Linked DNA regions of Oryzias latipes. The protein of the gene in region 2 interacts with the protein of the main gene of each other region in a pairwise test. Links are inferred from orthologs where the notes say so. Each region holds a gene or a part of one and is shown on either strand. Other genes may lie near its edges.

What was found.
Region 1: the proteins of pum2 (region 2) and dazl interact in a two-hybrid assay, tested with the Homo sapiens proteins (2 studies listed by BioGRID and IntAct). The link is inferred for Oryzias latipes from reciprocal best matches to the Homo sapiens genes PUM2 and DAZL.

The regions. Positions count from the first base shown.
Region 1 is NC_019869.2:11,023,600-11,027,957, forward strand, and holds the start of dazl (deleted in azoospermia-like), read left to right. Parts: upstream 1-1,431; 5' UTR 1,432-1,576; coding exon 1,577-1,579; intron 1,580-4,358. UniProt on the Homo sapiens protein: RNA-binding protein, which is essential for gametogenesis in both males and females. Plays a central role during spermatogenesis.
Region 2 is NC_019882.2:6,547,384-6,551,775, forward strand, and holds the start of pum2 (pumilio homolog 2), read right to left. Parts: upstream 2,949-4,392; 5' UTR 2,821-2,948; intron 1,233-2,820; 5' UTR 1,220-1,232; coding exon 887-1,219; intron 1-886. Other genes in the region: rho-related GTP-binding protein RhoB, read left to right, coding at 3,619-4,212. UniProt on the Homo sapiens protein: Sequence-specific RNA-binding protein that acts as a post-transcriptional repressor by binding the 3'-UTR of mRNA targets.

The DNA.
Region 1 (4,358 bases), on a different chromosome or scaffold from region 2:
AAATATTTCGCTGCATTGCAAGAGAGGATATTCGCTGTGATGTGGATGAGAATTTGTGGCCTAACATACAGGAACGACAAGAGGTGTAGGAAGACCACACCAATTCCTACTGCACTGCCTGTACTGTTGTACAGAATATTGTCCTATCTTTTTTTTCCCTTTGTGTTACTGTTTGCAGTGGGTTTTTTCTATGTTGGTATGACATGGTCTGTCAACAAATTACAATATGAACGATAAAAGTGTTAATGTGAATCTTGTCCAGTCTCTTGCAATCAAACATAAAAGGTGTAACTTACATTTTACAATAATTGTCATTGTCATCCAAACTTTAGCCATAGTTTACATCAGAACCTCCCTCTAAAGTACACAGTTATACTGACAACATGACTAAGTAATTCGACTGTCTTGTTCGTAGACAATGACACAAGGACTTGACATTCTGATGGCACTGACATGTTCAATGACATAAAGACTTAGTTTTCAGAGATGAACTAAAGATTTTGAGCACGTTACAGGCTTTTGCAAGAAATCCATAGTGTTTTGCTGTTTGTACAAATTGTTTTGAGAAATGCACACACGTATTTGCAAACTTCAATTCTGATCTGAGAATTGTACCAAAGCGACTGAGAAAAACTGGAAAAAGGACCATGGTAAAGCATTGCAATCATTTAGGGTACAGACAGCCTTCATATTAAAGGAACTTCAAAGATTACAGGGCTTATGCTGCCTGTGATGCAGTGCATCCATCTTTTGTTTTCAGGCTTTGGTGGTTTACAATTGCTTACAAAAAATAACAAAGTTACTCTAGAAGCTCTGGTGATGAATTAGGCAGAAAAATGAGAGGTTGTTGCATTGAAAAGCATATCGTAATAGAATATTAGTGTGTTTGAATGATGGAACAATTGAGCAAAACTGATCAGAATTGACATCCATACATATTGTGTGTCCTTCTGTGCTTTTCAGTGAGTATTTATTTAACTTTTGTTTCTTACACTAACCATTTAACGTTTTCAATTACAAAAAAATTGACAAAATCTGAAAGAAATACACATATTGGTCAGCAAACAACATCTTTAATTAATCCAGCACACAAATAAACATGTGGGCTAGTTGCATCATGTTAATTTAAAAATAAATAAATAATTGTCAAAACACAAAAAAACTTTCATGTTTTTTCCAAACAAATAAGCTTATGAAAATAATTTAACAACTCATAAATGTTTTGTCACACCACATAAGATGATTGAATTTTCCTGTTTGCTAAAAAATAAAAATAAAAAAAGTACTTTGAAATGCCTCCGTGTAAAAAAAGTTAATATTAATAAAAGCAAATTAAAACTGATAAATATACTAATTAATTAGGAGTTGCCTTTCTTCTGGAATAAATTACATTTTAAAAGAAGAGTGCGTCCTCCCGGTCCTCCCTGGTTGACCATGCAGTGGATCTGTCTCGGCGGAGTGGGGTCACGCCGGACGTGATGGGCGTGGTTTCGGATCATTCTCGATTGCTGAGCAGAGCCTTGAAGATCCGCGGCTTGGGTTTCTGGCCAAATTCTTGGTTTTAATCATTTTAGAAATGGTAAGTTTTTCTGTTATTTTATGTGCGTGTACGAGATGTTTATTTACTGAGAATGTTGTTGCGTTAATTTGCGTTTTGTGTCAAGTAATTGGTGCGATCGCGCTTAGCTTGAGGTGAACTAGCGGGAAGACTCGATGAAAATGGCGCCGAGTATGATAGAGGCCAACGTCGGTTCAACTTCAGCCGGATCACTTCTACAGCTAAAATATCAACCGATTTCTCAAGGACTTTCAGTGTTTTCGTGTTTACAGCGTTTGGACTAAAGTAAAGTTTTAAGTAAATCGTGGAATTTTTTCACGGGGTCTATTATAGTTGGCTACTTAACGTAATGTCGCTAAAACTTTTAAGCTAACATTCACGTGTCTGCTTGCCTTGCTTTAGCAAATACATACGGAATCGTATTACGGGGGATTTTTGTTTCGTTTCTGATATTTTTAAGAACTAAAACAGGCTGGGAACTAACCTCATCTGCTCCTGAAATAAAACGATAAGATGACCTCTAAGTTGAAAACTCATGTGTCCGTGTCACAGACTTGATCCGTTTTGTTTACACTAGTGGCGGCCACGTGCACGTTGGGTCTGCTGGCAGCAGGGGATTGTGGGATGCGATCCCCTGGTCAAAATAGGGCTGAGCATGGCATGGGTGTTTTTTTTTTTTTTTTTTGCCCACGTTTCTTTTCATATGGCTGTTTTGTTGTTCCACCCTTAGTTAATTCTTCCTGTTATGTTTGTTTCTTTTTGTTGCACTATGAGTGTGGAAGGGGGAGAGGGTGATGACCCATGTGCAATGTTCAGTGTTGTGAGTCCAAAATAAATGGGCTTGAAGCCTCGTCCTCTCTGAGACTGTTCGGAGTGGGGTGGTGTATGAGAGACGGACAGCTCTCCAGCGCAGCCACTTGAATGACAGCTCGGCTTTCATTTACCCCGCTATGAGTGACTTATTAGCGGGGTCGTTACAATAGCACCATTCTGATTTGTTCTTACTTACTGTGTTAACCTCAAACATTACAGAGAGACCCCCCACCACCACCACCACACACAAACGCGCTGTGACAATATATTGAGGAAGTATCTATAAAAAAATGTGTAAATATACCTAAAATAGTATCTTTTAACATTAACAAATAAAAAAAAGGAATGTAAATCCACTTTCAACAAATATTAACTTTATTTAGCCACACAGAAGCCCTGTTCTAGTCTTAAACAGAAAAGAAGCTTAAAGTGCCTGAAATAAAAATTCGTTATTTAAACTAGAAACATTTTGACCAACTGACCCATTTGATGCTGAGAAAAATAATTCAATCAATAAATAATATTAAATGTAAATTGTTCTGAAACATTAACACAGCAGCACCAATACATTTAACGTTTTTAGTCTGAAGAAATAAGTCAAAAAAACATTGTGCTGATTTTTCCTTTTTCTAAATGATGATTGTTTATTTATCATCTCAAAAAGTGCAGCAGTTTACTTCACTACCTGCTTTATTTCTGTCAAATACTGACACCAACTAAACGACAGGCAGACAAAGAATACATTTATGGAAAACAAAGACACGTCATCAAAATGTCTTCAATACTTAATAAAAAATGACATTATTAGTATGAGCTAAGTCATCTAAAGCAGTGTTTTTCAACCAGTGTGCCGCGGCACACTAGTGTGCCGTGGGAGATGGTCAAGTGTGCCGTGGAAAATTGCCCTCATTAACTGATCTAAAAACATTTCCCATCTCCAGGATTTCAGCTCTGTGTTCATCCAAACAGGCCCTGATAAAACACTGAGGAGTTAGGAATATAAAAGATCGTAAAATACTTTTTCTTTGCGTTTATTTTATTTTATTAAAGACATTTTGATAAGAATGACCGTACCGCGATTCAGCTGCAGCTCCGGCTGTATTTGGGAAAAGTCCCGTCCCTTTGACTGTCTCCACCAATCATTCTTGAGGGGCTTAATCACATGTCATCAGTCTGACCAATCAGAAGTGGTTAAAGTCTTCACTTCCTTGTCCCGATTTAGCTCGTAAAGTCGCTCAGTTCTAACAAAAATACCAGCTAAAGCTCGTCTTTAGCGCTGTAGCTTTCCACAGAATCCGGTATCAGACCGTGGAACAAGTGAACAAAACAATGAAGCTCCGAAAACCGATCTCCGGCCGTTTTATGCACTACATCTCCCATGATGCATTGGGTTGTGAGAGTGACAGGGCACAAGGAGATCTGTCGTTAGACGTCTTGAAACCAACGAACACACATCAAACTATTTTTAAATCTTCTAACTTAACTTTTATTGAATCTTTTAGAAAAAAACAGCTGCAGTTTCCAGCTTTTTCTGCAACAATTATCTCCAAAATGCATGTGAGATTGTGGAGGGGCTGTAGATCAATACAGACTATGAGTTTATCCTTTTTTTTTTTAATTTTTGGATGCTGGTGTGCCGCGGGATTTTTTTTTAAGGTTAAAGTGTGCCGTGGCTCAGAAAAGGTTGAAAAACACTGATCTAAAGGCACGCCATGATCCTGGTATTGGGCAACAGGCAGCGCTTGCAGCTCTCTTCGTGCCCCGTTTCACCTGGCAACCTGAGCCCACACTACCCCTCCCCTTTCGTTCTCACACACGTGTGACAGGAGAGCAGCTGCACGGACGGGGATTCACAGGTTTCAGGCTGTCATAAACTCTGCGATTTAACAGACAATAGGAATAGTGGCGCAGATTTTTTTCCCAAGCACTGAGCCGCTGTCACCACCACCCCCACGTTTCCCCCACGTTTAATTTGTGCAGCCGACAA
Region 2 (4,392 bases):
GGGGGGTACATGAGCGGTATGTGTGGGAGATTTAAGACTGCGATCCGTCCCGCAGCTCTAGGGGTACGAGCTATCAAACTCAGAACCGGGTCTAAACGTGTGTCTGAGCACAGCTCGGATCGTCAGCACACACAGCGGTTTGAGCTTCAAAGCAGAAATGTCGCTCAGTCCTTAGAAAACATTCAAACAATCACGTGGATTTGTGTTTCCAGTCGTGTCCCGACTAAATAAAGGCTGATGTTATTCACAGCATGCAGCGCCACCCAAAGCTAATGTTGTTAGCCTGTGTTAACATACTGCTAATCCTGGCTACGTTCAGAAAAAGCACTGACCACACGGATTAAAATTCAAATGATGAGCGAACAGGTGTTTCATAATAACCGTAACATTATTAAAAGCACGTTTAGAAGATCGTCTCGTATTTTACCGAGCTGACATGTCAATGTATATAGCTGCTCGCCGCTGTTATCGTTTTGTATTGAATTGTTATATTCAATAAAGTTTGGAAAAAAAGCCGCTCGGCGGAAGTTGTATCCTCTTCCGGTTTTCAAACTGCGCATGTGCGAATACTGCGCGTGTGCGAATGATTTATTCCGACCGAAATTGTGACCTTAGTGAACGTTTTTATATTCTGAAAACATTTTTCTGGGCCCATGTACACGGTTGGATACTAATCCGACCATTGATCCCATCAAGATATTTTGTACATGTAACCGCGGCTTATGATGTCGACGCGCAACGTGGCGGGGGCGTGGCATCACGATGGTGGTCTCTCCATCGGGATGTCAGTCACCCATCACAATGGACGATGATATCGTCCATCGGCACAACCCTACTTCACATCAAACTACATAGTAGTGCAGCAGTTTGTAATTAAGGCTTATACCTGATCAACATGGTTAGAATCTCCAGTAGGCCAGCGATGTTTACTGATTGTGCAACCAACAAGCTGCTCTCCGGGCTGTCTCTGAAAGAAGTACCCGACTGTGGCATCATCCTGAGATCTCCCGCTCAGCGGAGGTTGGGGTGTACCCGGAGTAAGGTTGGGATTCCTGTCCATGCCTTGTAGGTGCCCAGCACCCCCAACTGTGGTTAGGGGACCTCCAGCATGAACCCTAATGCCCCCGGTCTCAGGAGCGCCATTTGCGTGCAGCACCCCACCCCTCGTCTCCTGCCAGCCCACGTCATTCATACCTAGGATGCTGCATGGAACGCTCATTCCACGGGAAAACCTACACAGACAAAGCATGAAGAAATGCTACATTAATATGAACACATCGACATGCCTAAATATCACCCAAAATCTATTAGCTATGCTTATGTTGTTTTTAGCCAAAAATCAGTAAACCTGTGTCATTTTCTAGGACATAGTTTATGCAGAGCTGCGCAAGTTCATCAGAAATGTGCCTCCTAGTTGTGGAAGGGAATAGTGGCGTGGAGTAAGCCTGCCCCCACTTCCCACCATCCCTCTGTTTACACTCTGTCCTGCTAGCTTGATGTCCTGCATCACCAGAGAAATGACACAGGAGCATGTAAAAAACAAAATTTACACCGGACTCGGTCGTTAACGAGTTTTATTTATTAAAATGTGTTCTGCCAAAGTTATATTGACGTTAAGAGCCTGTTTCATGATGTTTTTAGCTGAAAGGTTAGTTTTTAAATCAAAATAAAATCGAACTTCTAGGTTCATAAGAAAACATCAAAACTATTTGTTGCTTAAAATATAAGTTCTGCTTTATCATGGAAAGCCTACAAGGTGGTTCTAATAAAAGGATTCACTCAGAATTATAAGTATTTTCCACGTAATCACTTCTTCTTAAGCAGCTTAATTACCCAACAGTCATTTCTGCTTTTTGAATTAGTTTTATTTCGATTGCTGGCTTATAGCATTCAAATTTGTCAGTAAAATAACTCCGTAGTTATAGTGTGGTCACGAATAAACTTGTTGGTGCAGCATTAGCATACAATATTAATAAACATATGCAAGCCTAAAAATCACGATGGTAAAGATTTATGGGTAATTTTAACCACGATAACATAAATGTTTTCTCTTACAAAATTGTTATTTTGGTCAAGGCAAAAACTATAAACGATCATTGTTGTATAATTTTGAAAATTAATTTAAACGGCAAAAATTAAGCGTTTAGTGTTGAGACAAATCAAAGAACAAACCGCTTTGCTAAGCTTGCTAGCAAGTCCGGTGCTAATGAGCAAGCTAAGTTAGCAGCAATTAGCAATTTTTTAAAACGAAAAATAAAGATTATTGTTACAGACTCAGTGGCAGTTGTCACGGGTGTGTTAAATTAGCTTTGAATAATCACACTAATTAAACAAAACATGTTCACGCCAAAAGACATCATTTAGAAGCTCGCCTTCGCAACATCCATGGCTAACCGGCTAATGCTAAGGAAAGCGGGCCTGTTGTGTTTGTTTTTGGTTTGTTACAACCAGACGTCAAATTCAGTTTGGGAATTAAACAATCCTAACCAGCAAAGTAGTGGAGATTTTAAATGATTTAGTTTGCAAAATGGCTTGTAATCATTTCTTACTTTTTCCTGACTCTGTCAATCACATTCAAATATGTTCAACAGTTCAAGCAACCCATGTCAGCTAAAATAGAAGCTAATTGCTGTTTTGAGAGCTAAAGCATCAGCCAAACACTCAGCGGCTAAACAACATGGCCCCCCTCAAGTTCCAAATAGAGGGGCCTTTACCGCTAAACAAAAGAGAAAATATTAATCTTGCGGTAACTGCTTCAAGGCGGTCGTCTCGTAGCGCCCGTGTTTGTATTATGAGCACAAAAGGGGGGAAAATACTCACGCCTTTTTGTATCGAGAGAGGATCTGTGCTCGCTGCACACCGTCAACCCTATTCTATATTGTTTTGTTTCCTTGAGTGCGGTGATTTAGCTTCAGCTAAGCGCTGTGCCTTCGCTGGTGCCCCCTCCCTGTAAATAGAGCGAACTACGTGGACACACACGTCTAACAAAGCTAATGTAAATCTATCTTTCCTGTATCATGTGTATCATGTACTCTTCAAACGCATATCAGCTCCTGACGGGTTGAAAAAATTCAAAAACAAACAACTCCGAAACAAAAAAACAAAAACAAAAATCGACCTATTTGTACTTATCTGAAAACTTTATCATCTGTGTATCTGATTTCTATTTACAGGTTTATTCTACAAATTTGAGGCTAATGTATATAAATTAGCTAACATAAAAATAATATTTAAAAAAAGCTATACATGAAGATTAAAAAAAAATCCGTGATTCCGCTTTATTTAACAGATTTTGGTGATTTTAGAAGCCGGTATGGTTCTTCTTGTTTTTGGACACGCCCCTTACTCCATAGGAGCCAATCATCTTTCATCTCCCAAAGTGTGATCTCACCTCCCCATTTCCGATTGGATTGCTATATTTAGGAAAGCGCACAGGCTTTATAAAACCACCCACTGGCCTGTAGATGGTTGGGAGTTTTTTTTTAATTAAGTGTCTGGTTTAACTGGTTAGATTTTGCCCACAAAAACAGGGTCAGCAGCACCAGAAGACAAAGAAGAAGACCGCGTCAGTATCTTTGGATGATTCGCCTGAGGGGGACCTCCTAGGAAAAGGCAGGAATGGCAGACATACGGAAGAAGCTGGTGGTGGTCGGGGATGGCGCATGCGGGAAAACGTGTCTGCTCATTGTGTTTAGCAGGGACGAGTTCCCCGAAGTGTACGTTCCGACTGTGTTTGAGACGTATGTGGCGGACATTGAGGTGGACAACAACAAGCAGGTCCAGCTTGCTTTGTGGGACACGGCCGGACAGGAAGACTACGACCGCCTGCGCCCGCTCTCCTACCCGGACACTGATGTCATCCTCATGTGTTTCTCCGTGGACAGCCCCGACTCGCTGCAAAACATCCCGGAAAAGTGGGTCCCCGAGGTGAAACACTTTTGCCCGAACGTGCCGATTATTCTGGTGGGCAACAAGAAGGACCTGCGCAACGACGAAAACACCAAGAACGAGCTGTCTCGCTTGAAGCTGGAGCCCGTGAAGGCGGAGGACGGACGCGCCATGGCGGCGCGTATCGGCGCCTATGACTATTTGGAGTGCTCTGCCAAAACCAAAGAGGGGATCTGGGAGGTTTTTGAAACGGCAACGCGAGCGGCCTTGCAAAAGCGGAGAACACCCGGAGATGGTTGTTTTAAATGCTGCGTTTTAATGTGAATCATCTGCTATCCATCCGCTGAGGCGTCTGGACACGCGTGGGCCTGATGGTTTGGGCACTCCCCTGCTGGAGTCATACGCCCTTGATTGAGCCACACACTGACTGAATACAAGCAGACTGTATTCCCTCATTTCCCCCCCGAGCACGCATGAATATCAACAAATGTTTGTATTTTTTGT